Linked DNA regions of Saccharomyces cerevisiae S288C. The gene in region 1 interacts genetically with each later gene. Each region holds a gene or a part of one and is shown on either strand. Other genes may lie near its edges. The genes, in order: CUP9, RIM8 and RIM101.

The links.
Region 2: mutations in CUP9 (region 1) and RIM8 together harm fitness more than expected from each alone (negative genetic interaction), as found in Saccharomyces cerevisiae (2 studies listed by BioGRID).
Region 3: mutations in CUP9 (region 1) and RIM101 together harm fitness more than expected from each alone (negative genetic interaction), as found in Saccharomyces cerevisiae (4 studies listed by BioGRID).

What each region holds. Positions count from the first base shown.
Region 1 is NC_001148.4:212,513-216,010, reverse strand, and holds CUP9 (Cup9p), read left to right. Parts: upstream 1-2,048; coding exon 2,049-2,969; downstream 2,970-3,498. Other genes in the region: nuclear cap-binding protein subunit CBC2, read right to left, coding at 3,227-3,498. UniProt on the Saccharomyces cerevisiae protein: Probable DNA-binding protein which plays a role in protecting yeast cells against copper toxicity. May regulate the expression of important copper homeostatic genes.
Region 2 is NC_001139.9:412,075-415,834, forward strand, and holds RIM8 (Rim8p), read left to right. Parts: upstream 1-2,027; coding exon 2,028-3,656; downstream 3,657-3,760. Other genes in the region: N-acetylglucosaminyldiphosphodolichol N-acetylglucosaminyltransferase catalytic subunit ALG13, read left to right, coding at 1-86.
Region 3 is NC_001140.6:49,111-52,870, reverse strand, and holds the start of RIM101 (alkaline-responsive transcriptional regulator RIM101), read right to left. Parts: upstream 1,761-3,760; coding exon 1-1,760. Other genes in the region: WSC4 (Wsc4p), read right to left, coding at 2,291-3,760. UniProt on the Saccharomyces cerevisiae protein: Transcription factor that mediates regulation of both acid- and alkaline-expressed genes in response to ambient pH.

The DNA.
Region 1 (3,498 bases):
TATCGGTTGAAAGAAAATTACACATCGATTTATGCAGGCAATCAACTATAGTATACACAACATATACTCCTATGACTTGTAGATTTCTTGCCTAGGAAGACTAAATACGTTTAATTCTAAGATTAGGAGCCCATGCATTTAAAGTTGCTTTTTGCCTGTGCGGGACAATTTTATTAGTCAGTATGGACATCTCCGCGGGGAATTTTTTTATCGGCAGAGCTGTTTAGACAAAGGATATAGATAGTATAAGGTGTTAGTACACACATTTCAACATAGTTATATTAGGAAGATTGCCACAAATTTCCTCTTTTTTTTTTTTTTCTTGTTTTTATTACACCTCCGCCCCTTGAATACCTTAGAGGTTAAGAAGTGAAATGCCAAGAGAAAGCCTAATAGGACACACAGTATTTACCACGGGAAAAGCGCGGGATATTTGAATCAGCTGGAGATTATTATGTACGCCATGTATATTTTTAGAGACGGCTTGTAACGGGTGCCAAGATATTCCATATTTTTATGTCTCAAAAAGGAAGAAAAGAGCTACGAGCACGTGCAAATATATGAACTTCAACACCTGTAGAAACTCGATAGTGAATAAATCAATCACAGTGCTTTCCTTGAAATAAGCTTCTGTCTGAACTTTAACAGTGATTTTTTTTTTATAGAACAGGCCTTTTCATCTGCAGAGATATGTCTAGTCTCGTAGGTTTTGACTCGTAACTTTGACTTCTGCATCTGGATCGTCAAAGCAACCCATACTTGACTTGATTACATTAGCATCAAAGAAAATCGTGCCAACGCCTTTTAGTCATGTCGAACGGTAGAGGAGGAGAAAGAGGGAGCTATCAAATTTAAAATTCGCAAACAAGCTGTTGAGAGCGACATAATAGCAATATTGTCGGGCCCCTTAAACACGTTTCATTAGTGTTTTAAGTGCCAAGCCAATGTGTTAGTAAGCTTGTAAAGGAATGCACGTATTAGAAAGTGAGCAACTTAAAAGTGAGCAAATATGATTAAAGTAGTATGCCTCCGAAGCTCGTCTTGTACTGCAAACTAAGCACAGAATATGCCGCACAAATGTCGGTGCCTATTATACATATGCTTTTCGTTATGTGTCTTAACAGACCTGACCGTTAACGGCAACAGAGAAAAGGAGCACTACCGACGGCTTTTTGCTTCTGGCCTATTTAGTGCCTGAGAATTTTGTGCGTGTTTCCTAGTGTCCGGCGGGCTTGACCTAGTCCACACTTCCAACAAGCACAAGCAGCGTGCTTCCTCACACTGGCGAATGCACCCAGAGTCGGCGTTGCCCGAAGTAAGAACCCTACCGCTACTCTGGCGCAGGCGCAGAGGAGCCACAGCCCTTTAAGACGCAAAAAAAGTAAAGCGGCAAAAGAAAAAACTGTCACTTTCGGACCGTTGGGTTATCCACGGGGTTTTCTGAGCACTCATGATCGGTAGCGGTATATTTCTGATCTCGCTCATTTTCTGTCAAATCGTCCTGATAATGGACGAAGACTGTACGTAAAGGGCAATTTTAAGAGACACAAAAGAATCCCACGAGAATTACTACTGTTGATTTTTGTGATTGGCTAGATAAGAAACCTTATCCGCTCACGCGCGTATTACTTCCTTCTTCGGATTCAGATTTCTTTCTGTGGGAACGGGTCATTTCTGCCATCTTACGTCTCTCAGCTTTTCTCTTTTGTTGAACCTTAATTTATTCATGTACATCAAGCTGTAGTTTGTTTTTTTCTTTTGGTAATTAATTTTTGTCCTTTTGTTTTCTTACAGCGTGTATATATTAATGATTAATTTTCTATGACTGATTTCGTCGCGCCCGGCGTTTTCTTGTCTCTTAATGCCTCCTGTTTCTGTTAATTGGTAAGATTATGTTAAATTGGTCAAGATATATACTAATACAATTTTTTAGTTGATCTTCCCACCCTTGTTTTCAAGCGATACCACGCCTATCCAGTGCTACTGATCGCTACTTGCCGAGCCCCTACTTTTATGCTAACAACCTTCGAGAATAGTTACATTCGAAGATGAATTATAACTGCGAAATACAAAACAGGAACAGTAAGAATGTTGACAATCAAGTCAGTCTACCCCCTATCCAAGTTCTATTTAACTCCATAGAAAAACGGAGTATGCCCGAGTTGGCATTTTCGAACATAGAATACTCGCATGGGAACCTTCGGTCTAGTACCGAGGAACAAAACTATCCTGCGCCTGTGTTACTTCCACAGCATCATTCGATTGCGTATCCCGCAATTAATTCTGGCGGTACTAGTACTACTGCTACTCCTACTGCTTCTACAGTTGAAACGTCCAAGACGAGTAGCAGTGCTATGGATACACAATCTCAATATGGCAGTTCAAAGAAGTCAAAATCGGCGTCCGATGATGCAAAGCCCTGCTACAAATCCGCCCCAATATATGAAATAATCAATAAGGAAAAGGATGCGGGGGCACAATACAACAGGCCATTTTCGGATTTTGTAGAATCTAAATCAAGGAGGAAGCAAAATTCGGGCAGGAGGTCTAACCTGCCAAAGGAAACAGTGCAGATACTGAATACTTGGTTGCTGAACCACCTGAATAACCCCTACCCAACTCAACAAGAAAAGAGGGAGTTGTTAATCAAAACTGGGCTAACCAAGATTCAACTTTCTAATTGGTTCATAAATGTGAGAAGACGCAAAATATTTAGTGATTACTATACCCTGGTAAACTCAATTCCTAATGACAACGCGAATAATACCCCAGTGGAACGAGTTCAAAACGTCTCAGCATATCATAACACATTATCTGCCACAAATAATACTATGTACGATGCTACGTCAACCTGCTCCACGGATTATGAATTATCCAAGAGATTTGCTCATGCCCCCGTTACACGCCGTAAAAAACTAATTGATAGGCTGGAAGAATTGAAAAAGCTATCCAACCCTGATATGAATTGATCACTTATCAATGCATTACTTAAATATTCATATAATTATATCTATTACCATTTACATTTTATCGTTACTATATATAGTATTATCATGTCATTGAACGTGTTACGTCTATTATGTTACACTGATTTTTTTTTTTTTTTTTTACATAACAGCATCATGCAAGCCTTTAAAAATAATGTAGGTATGTATATATACAATAATATATATATATATATATATATCTGTGTGTAGAATCTTTCTCAGATATAAATTGATTGATTCTACTGAGGTACGTAGTTATCATCTTCTCTTTCTTCATCGAAACCTGGTCTGAAAGTACCCATTGCATCAGGAGGAGGGATATAATTATTCGTATTAGATTGTGAGCTACTGTTATCAAATCTGGAATGTGGTACGCCGACACGCTCTGCAAATGGAATGGCGAAGCCACCTCTGGATGCATCAAAATCGAACCTCAATTCATCGCTGACTTGACCACCGCTCTTACCACGACCAAACTGTCTTCCATCTTCAAAACCAGGATCTAGATCAA
Region 2 (3,760 bases), on another chromosome or scaffold:
CATCTCAAACAGAGAAACTCAAACCATTCCCAGTTTCTCATAACCCGTCATTTGAGCGATTGCTAGTTGAAACTATATACAGCTAGTTAGTAAGATTTTAAAAGACGAAAAGAACGGAAAGTAGGACAACTACCAAAAAAAAAGATGGAAGGTTTCTTTGGTTAGTTAGCAGTATCCGCGTAATGCCTTAGACGTTTTTGATCAGAAAAAAATAAAACTTGATTTCGCCCAGGATCGAACTGGGGACGTTCTGCGTGTTAAGCAGATGCCATAACCGACTAGACCACGAAACCAGTTTTTTGATGTTTCGTTTAGGGACAAGAGTCCTATGAGAGTCCACTAAAATTCTAAAAATAATTGTATCAACAACCGTCATGCAGCTGTTGTATCAAGAATCGACCACCATCTATAGACTATTGTTCATAGCTGTATTACAATATCATATAAGATGTAAGGATAGAACGTGAAGATCGAGAAACAGTCAGCAGATTTAATGGAAGCTGAAATGCACGGATTGATAATGTAATAGAATAAGTGACAACATAAGAAATGAAAGAAAAAAAATAACATTAATATAATTTAGAAATGTTAGTTTCCTTCTATGAACTCTCGTATCCCTGGGGAGGACTTTCAATATATTCAGTATACCTACCGTTCAAATGATACTCTAAAATATCATCTATTAAGTGGTATTCAGGTTTTTCCCACGCAAGATTGAGTGCGTCAGGCAAAGCCACGATCGCAGATTACTCTCCTAACAATATTAAGATCGTCAAGAACATCCGGTTTTACTCAAGCGCTTAATACAACACGTCGGCTTTCGCTCAACTGCAGTATATTGTGTCTGTAACCTCTCCCGTCAAGTTTGCGCCACGGGCCCAATAACCAACTTCTGCGCCATTGTTACGGAAAAGTGGCCATCTTTGCTATGCTCGTAAGGCTAGCGCTCTCTAAGTACGCCAGCCCAAAAACTCCGTATCGCTCTTCATCGGAATTGCTATATCTACAGCCGACGGGCACTCTATGTATACTCATATCACAGCCACTGTTGCACTACATTATTCGCAGGGACTCCGAGATCGCTGAGCATGTTGCTAAGCAACTTACCAAGGTTGGAATGCATTATATAGTCCGATATAGACCCCGCTCGGACTATATTATATAAATTCAAATAGCACTTTCAACGAGTGTCTTAATCCGTCCTAGTTCCTGCTCTCGCTCCACGTTGTCATCCCACCCATTCGCACGGGTCTTCTGTGCGAATGAGCCACAACGGGGCCGAGTTCAGCGCGTGTCCGCCTACAACGTCCGCCAACTAGTGGCAATTGCTAGGCTACGCCGACCACGCTGACACGCACCGTTCTACTCGCTCTATGCTGCGGTGTGACGTGTGAACGCGCGATCGTTCGCAATCGTATCGTTTGCCAAGAAAAAAAGCCAATCGGAGAATCTGAAAATCGCTATTCGGCTTGCAGGTCGCACGCACTCAGAGTACGAAATGCCAAGTACCGGAATTTCCTTGGCCTTTTTTAAGTTTCTTCTCTTCTATTCTTTTTCCCCTTTCTTTCTTCCTTTGCTATCTGTCTGGTTTAAATAAACATAGTATTTTTTTGTGTCTAAGCCTCTTCCTCTTCTCTCGTACTTGCTCTACTACCACTTTACTTAATCGCCTTTCTTTGTTTTCTTTCTTCGTTATTTGTTCTTGGACTTTTCCGCTCCAATCCCAACGATTGGCTTCAAAACACGTTCTACTGTCTAGCAATTTCTGCAGGTGCCATTTTTCTTAGGCTTATACCCTTTCCTTTTCCCCTTACATTTGATTTCTTCTTCAAAGTTCCTTATAGTATTATTGTCTAAGCTCTATTGAGTCAAAAGTAACAATCTAGACGAAGAAAAAAAAAAAATAGAAAATAGACATCCCCGAATACGCATCATCTCACGCACGTACAAGATTTTAACGTTAAAGCCAAAGTACGCTAGTATAGTATCATCAGCATCACCCTCACTATCGGTAGCATTGACCAAACATGTCGTTACTGAGACTGTGGAACAAAGAATCAAGGGCACCATCAAAAATAAAGAGTCATGGTATTGTTGGCAGTTACGGCAACAGCATGCTGGCCCATAACAACGTGAAGCAATTTCGTATAGACATAGACGAACCGCATAGAGTATGGAAACCGAATGAAAGCATAACCGGAGAAGCGGTCATTGACATAAAGAGAGACATAACTAACGTAGCGATCAAATTATCGCTAGTATGTGAGGTTCGCGTGAAAACGGGGAACAGTCCAACCTCCAAGAATAAGAGAATTGAGAAAACCTTAGAGAAGTCGACGTTTCTTTATGGACAGGACTACGTAAAGACAGCTTTTTCGGCTAAGGAAAAGAAACCGCATGTTGACAAAACCACCATTCTCAATGGTTTAAGCAAGGGGGAACACAGGTTTCCCTTTAGGATACGAATACCACGAGGCAGAGGAATGTTGAGCTCTATAAAGTTCGAAAGGGGCTCGATAACATACTTCCTCTCTTGCACTTTAGAATCCCTCAACAACATCAACGGATTAAAAAAACCGGAAGCAAGATGCGAACGTGAGTTTGCAGTCATAGTTCCGCTGGACGTCTCGAGGCTGCCCAAGCCGAAAACTAAGACAGTGGTTTTACAATCAGCATCTATGGTCCAAAACAAAAAGAACAAATCTACAGAGGACGAATCCTCATCGTATACACAATTAACTCAAAAGTCTACTACTTCTAATTCTTCTAGCAGTTCAGTAAACTCCAAGACGTCCCCCTTACCAAATAAAACGGTGACTATATCCGTAGACATACCGCAGGCTGGATTCATGATTGGTGAAATTATCCCTATAGACGTTAAGATTGACCACTATAAGCCTTTCTATGCCCCTGCGGGTCTCACCACCACTTTGGTGAGGATATGTAGGGTGGGCGGTGCAGGCAAAGATGATCCTATGGAGACTTTCAGAAAAGATATATGTCAGAGTATCTCTCCTATATATATTAACCCTGAAACGTTGCAGTTTCAATCTAGAGTTTATCTGAAAGTGCCCCTTGATGCATTTTCGACCCTTACTACTGTGGGAAAATTTTTCTCCTTCCAATACTATATCGAGGTTATGGTTAACTTATCAAAAAAAAACGTGGTTTACACAGAATCTAATAGAATAATAGGAACTCCTATTGGAGAACAAAATGGCTTGGGCGTAGAGAATAATATCAACCGTATCCAAAGGAAAATGCTACGTATGGTCAATCCAGAAACGTTGGAGAACGATTCTGAGGGTTATGAATCCAGTATATTTTTCAAAGATATGGTAAATGTGGAAAAGCTAAAGAGACTGAGGAATGTAACTGGTATGTCCATAGAAACCGTCATAGGAACGACGAGATCCGAACAGCAGCAATCTGATGCAAGCATCCCATCCCAATCCTCAATCACGGCTCCTCAAAATTCTCCATCGAATTTAAGAGATTGGTTGGCCCCATTAAATGCATATGATAGTGACGATGTTCCAGTTCCAAAGTATTCGCCAAATGATAAAGTCAGTGTACCGTCGGAAGACAAACAAGAACTTGAACAAAAAAGACTACAACAGTTAGAAAGCGATCCTCCCCCTTGTGATGACTATTAAAAAGTGCAGGTAACAAGTCATATACTCGCAGCTTGCGCCGTGTTGGAACTAGGCGCCTTAATCATGTTTGCATATTTCCACTATCCCAGCCACGTAATGATCCA
Region 3 (3,760 bases), on another chromosome or scaffold:
TCACTTTCTTCATCATCTAAATCTTCCATGACACAGCACAACAAGTAGTCCTTGATAATGTTCACTATACCCAACATCTCTACGAAATCATCCTCTATCTCGCTTTCGTCATCTACTTCTTCAATCGCCAGCTTACTCATGATAATATCATTAGTACAGCTTTTTTGGTTCAGGCTAAATTCCCAGTTAGGCTTCAATGAAGTTCCACCTGCCATTGTACGGCGCGATGGTAACATTGGTATCTTTGATTGTAGAGGCGGTAATATAGAACAGCCACTGGAGGAATAGCTAGGCGCAGCACGAACAGATGGATAGTGTGGCATAGCATACTGTGATTGGCGGTTGAAAACACCACCGGCAGTGTTCGAATGTAAAGGTGGCAAATGTTCAGTAAGCGAAGGACCAGTTGGATACTTGGCCAACCGTACTGGCACATAAGTTGCTGTATTTGCAGTGGCCGAAATAGAGCTACCACCTTGTACGGATTGGTATGAAGGAGCATTAGGTGGCTGCACATAGCTTGTTTGTGCTACGGGGATGCGCCCAGATGATGACGAGGACTCAGTACTACCACCGCTTTGTTGCAAAATGTAGTTATTTGTCATATTTCTCGATAGTTTGGTGAAGAATTGGGTGGCGTTTGCTATGGTCTTATTAGAACAACCGTCCTCGTAGACATTCATGCTCCGACTGTTGGCACCTTGGCTTACCGTGCTGCCGTTATTGTAGTATAATGGCGGCAAGATCGTTTGCAATCTGGCACTCAATTGTGGAGAATATACCGGCTTATACTGAGATAGCTCGTCTGAGCATAGTTGGTTTAAGGAAATAGCCCGCTGCTGCTGTTGTGAAGGCAGATGTTGAGATATACCCACGGGCAATGGGGGTAATATCTGTGGAGAAGTAGAATGTGACTTAAAGCTACCAGCTATAGCGGAAGGCACAGATGCAGAACAAGACGACACTGCGTCGCTTGCACAACTTTTGTTTTTCTTAGAAGTTCTTTTTGAGCCCCATTTGGGTCCCCTCTTTCTTTTCAAAATACCGCCACTTTCCAGATGAATTTTCAAATGCTTTTTTAAATCTTGCGGACGTTTAAACTTTTTGGAGCACGTAGAGCAACCGAACGGTTTCAATGGTACGTGAACTCTCAAATGCGAGGTGATATGGTCCCTTTTCTCCGTCTTCGTGGTACAGTCTCCCCAATGACAATTCAATTGTAGGTTCTTATGTGACTTCCTGCCAACATGGTCATGACACAGATGATTATATAGCAGCTCTGGTTGGTTGAAAATCATACCACAGTTGTCCCATTTACAATATAGTGTTATATCCTCAGAATCACCGTCATTATCCGCATCGTCGTCATCACCTGCCGGGTTATGCGCTTGTGCCAATGGCGAGGAGGAGGACGAGTCAGAGGAAGATGATGTGGTGGGTGAAACTGCCGAAGCGCCCAATAGATCGTATGGAGGAGTGTTCAAGTGTGAAGTACTATGATATGGTAAGCATGATGAAGAAGTGCTGCCTGGTGACATCCGTTCATCTTCTTGACCGTTCAAGCCAATAGCTTCCGTGGTACACCTAATTCTAGGCCTCTTCGAACAATCAGAAGACCTTTTAGATAGGTTAGGACTGGGCAGCCCGTCCTTCTTTGTGACGTTAGAAACGTCTGTCCCATTTTCTACTATACTCTCCCGGCTGTGTTGAGGTGCGGCAGTGCCATTTTCTTTATTAAGCAGATCTTCCAATGGCACCATCTTAAGTCAATTTAAACAAACCTACTTTACCGTTTTCAGTATTTTATCTTTGCACTTGTTCAAAAAGTGTTGTGCAATAGCAATATTACTTTCTCAGTGGAAGTGATAACAGACCAATAAAAAAAAAAAAGGTTATAGACGGTGACTCTTATGAAAACATTTAGTTCCTTTCTATATTATTGAGTCTTAATTTTTTATCTTTTGTCTCGTAGATTGGCATCCCTCACCCGTCTGAAATGATTTTATAAGCCTCCGTCATCTCGGACGTAATTTTAGAAACTCCGAGCTGGACGGCTATTTTATTTTCTGCGCCGTAATCTGTGAATCACAGAGAATGTCTCGCACGAACGCGGTATTTAGATTATTGTGCCTGCTGTCACTGGGCAGAGAAAAGTATGTACAAGATAACAGCGTTATTGTCGTAAAGCATTCTTTTGAGAACATTCGAAGGAAAAAAACAAAGTTCAGAATTAAAATTATGTATGTATTATCGTTCGTGGAATATTTATTACGTATAAGAGCTGCAGTCTTTATTCGTTCATTAGCCGCAGAACCCTCCTGGAGTAGTCTACGTTGTCTGATAACGAAATGGTAGAGTGGTTTGTGGCATCGTCATTTGCTAAAGTGTTAAGCATCTTACTTGGGTCTAGCCTCTGATCCACCAGTACCGTGTCTTCACCTAGAGTAACGTTTGATTCCATTTTTTCGTGTTGCTTTTGAATGGGCGAATGAAGAAAAGTAGAAGTTCTTCTGGGAAGAATGGGATCGTGAAATGGGCTTGCCAACGTGCTTGGGTCATTTGGTGGACTGCCTGCAGTCAAGGAATACGTAGATTGACGTGGGGATGGTGATTCAGACATAATTTGTCCCTTTTCATCAGTGTATATTAATCTTGGGGTCGAGAAAGTTGAATTTGAAGATGGTGAAGGCGTGTGTAACGTGGTAGTGGTAACTTCATTTGGGTACTTGGACTGGTAAAACTTACTCTGATATTCATTCTCAAAATCTTGAGCCTTCCGAGCGGGTCTTGTTCTATAATGATGTATTAAGTATATTAGTATGCATATAATTACCAAACATACCACTCCAACCACGACGAAAGTAGCGGCTATTTTCCCGGGCGAATCCCAGTACCCTTTCTTTTCTGTAGACTTGTTAGTTGGTGTATTGCTGTTGGTGGTGTTACTATTGTTATTGTTTGTTATTCTACCACCTACGCTGGCAGACGTAGTAGCCACTGCAGAAGTAGGAGTAGCCCCGAGGGTGGAAGAGTAAATCTGCGTTATTACTTTTTTCATGGTGAGATATCTCGAGGTGATTTCCGAAATGTTAGTGTCCATGGTGTGCACTGAAGTCACTGTTATCACAGAATACTTTAAGGAGGTCTGCAGGTTTACAGAAGTTATAGTGGACGTTATTGGAGATGCTGTGGTACTGGTGTAAGTAACCGTAGTGCTTGAAGGGGCTGTACTGGGTGATGTCGTAGTGAACGTTGTGCTCGTTGGTGTTGTATTAGACGAGCTTGTAGGTGCTGAAGAAGAAGTTGGCGATGTTGTACTTGTTGAAGTGGAAGTTGACGACGTCGTGCTTGTAGAAATGGGGGCTGACGATGTTGTGGTTGGAGTTGATGATGATGATGATGATGTGCTCGTGGAAATGAGGGTTGACGACGTAGTACTTGTGGTGGTAGATGTTGATGATGTGACACTTACGGTCGTAGAAGTCGACGATGAGGTACTTGTGGTGGTAGAGGTTGACGATGTCGTGCTTGTGGGAATGGATGTTGACAACTTTGTGCTTGTAGTCGTGGGCAGTGCCGATGTTATATCAGTTGATGGTGTTGTACTGGTTGAGGCGGTTGTCAATGGGGTCGTACTCGTTGACGTCAGAGTCGGCGAGATTGTGGTTGTGTCCACAATACTCGTACTACTACTACTCGTGATAGAGCTACTTGAAACGTACACACTGGACTCTGTTGACGTTTCCACACTCTGTACAGA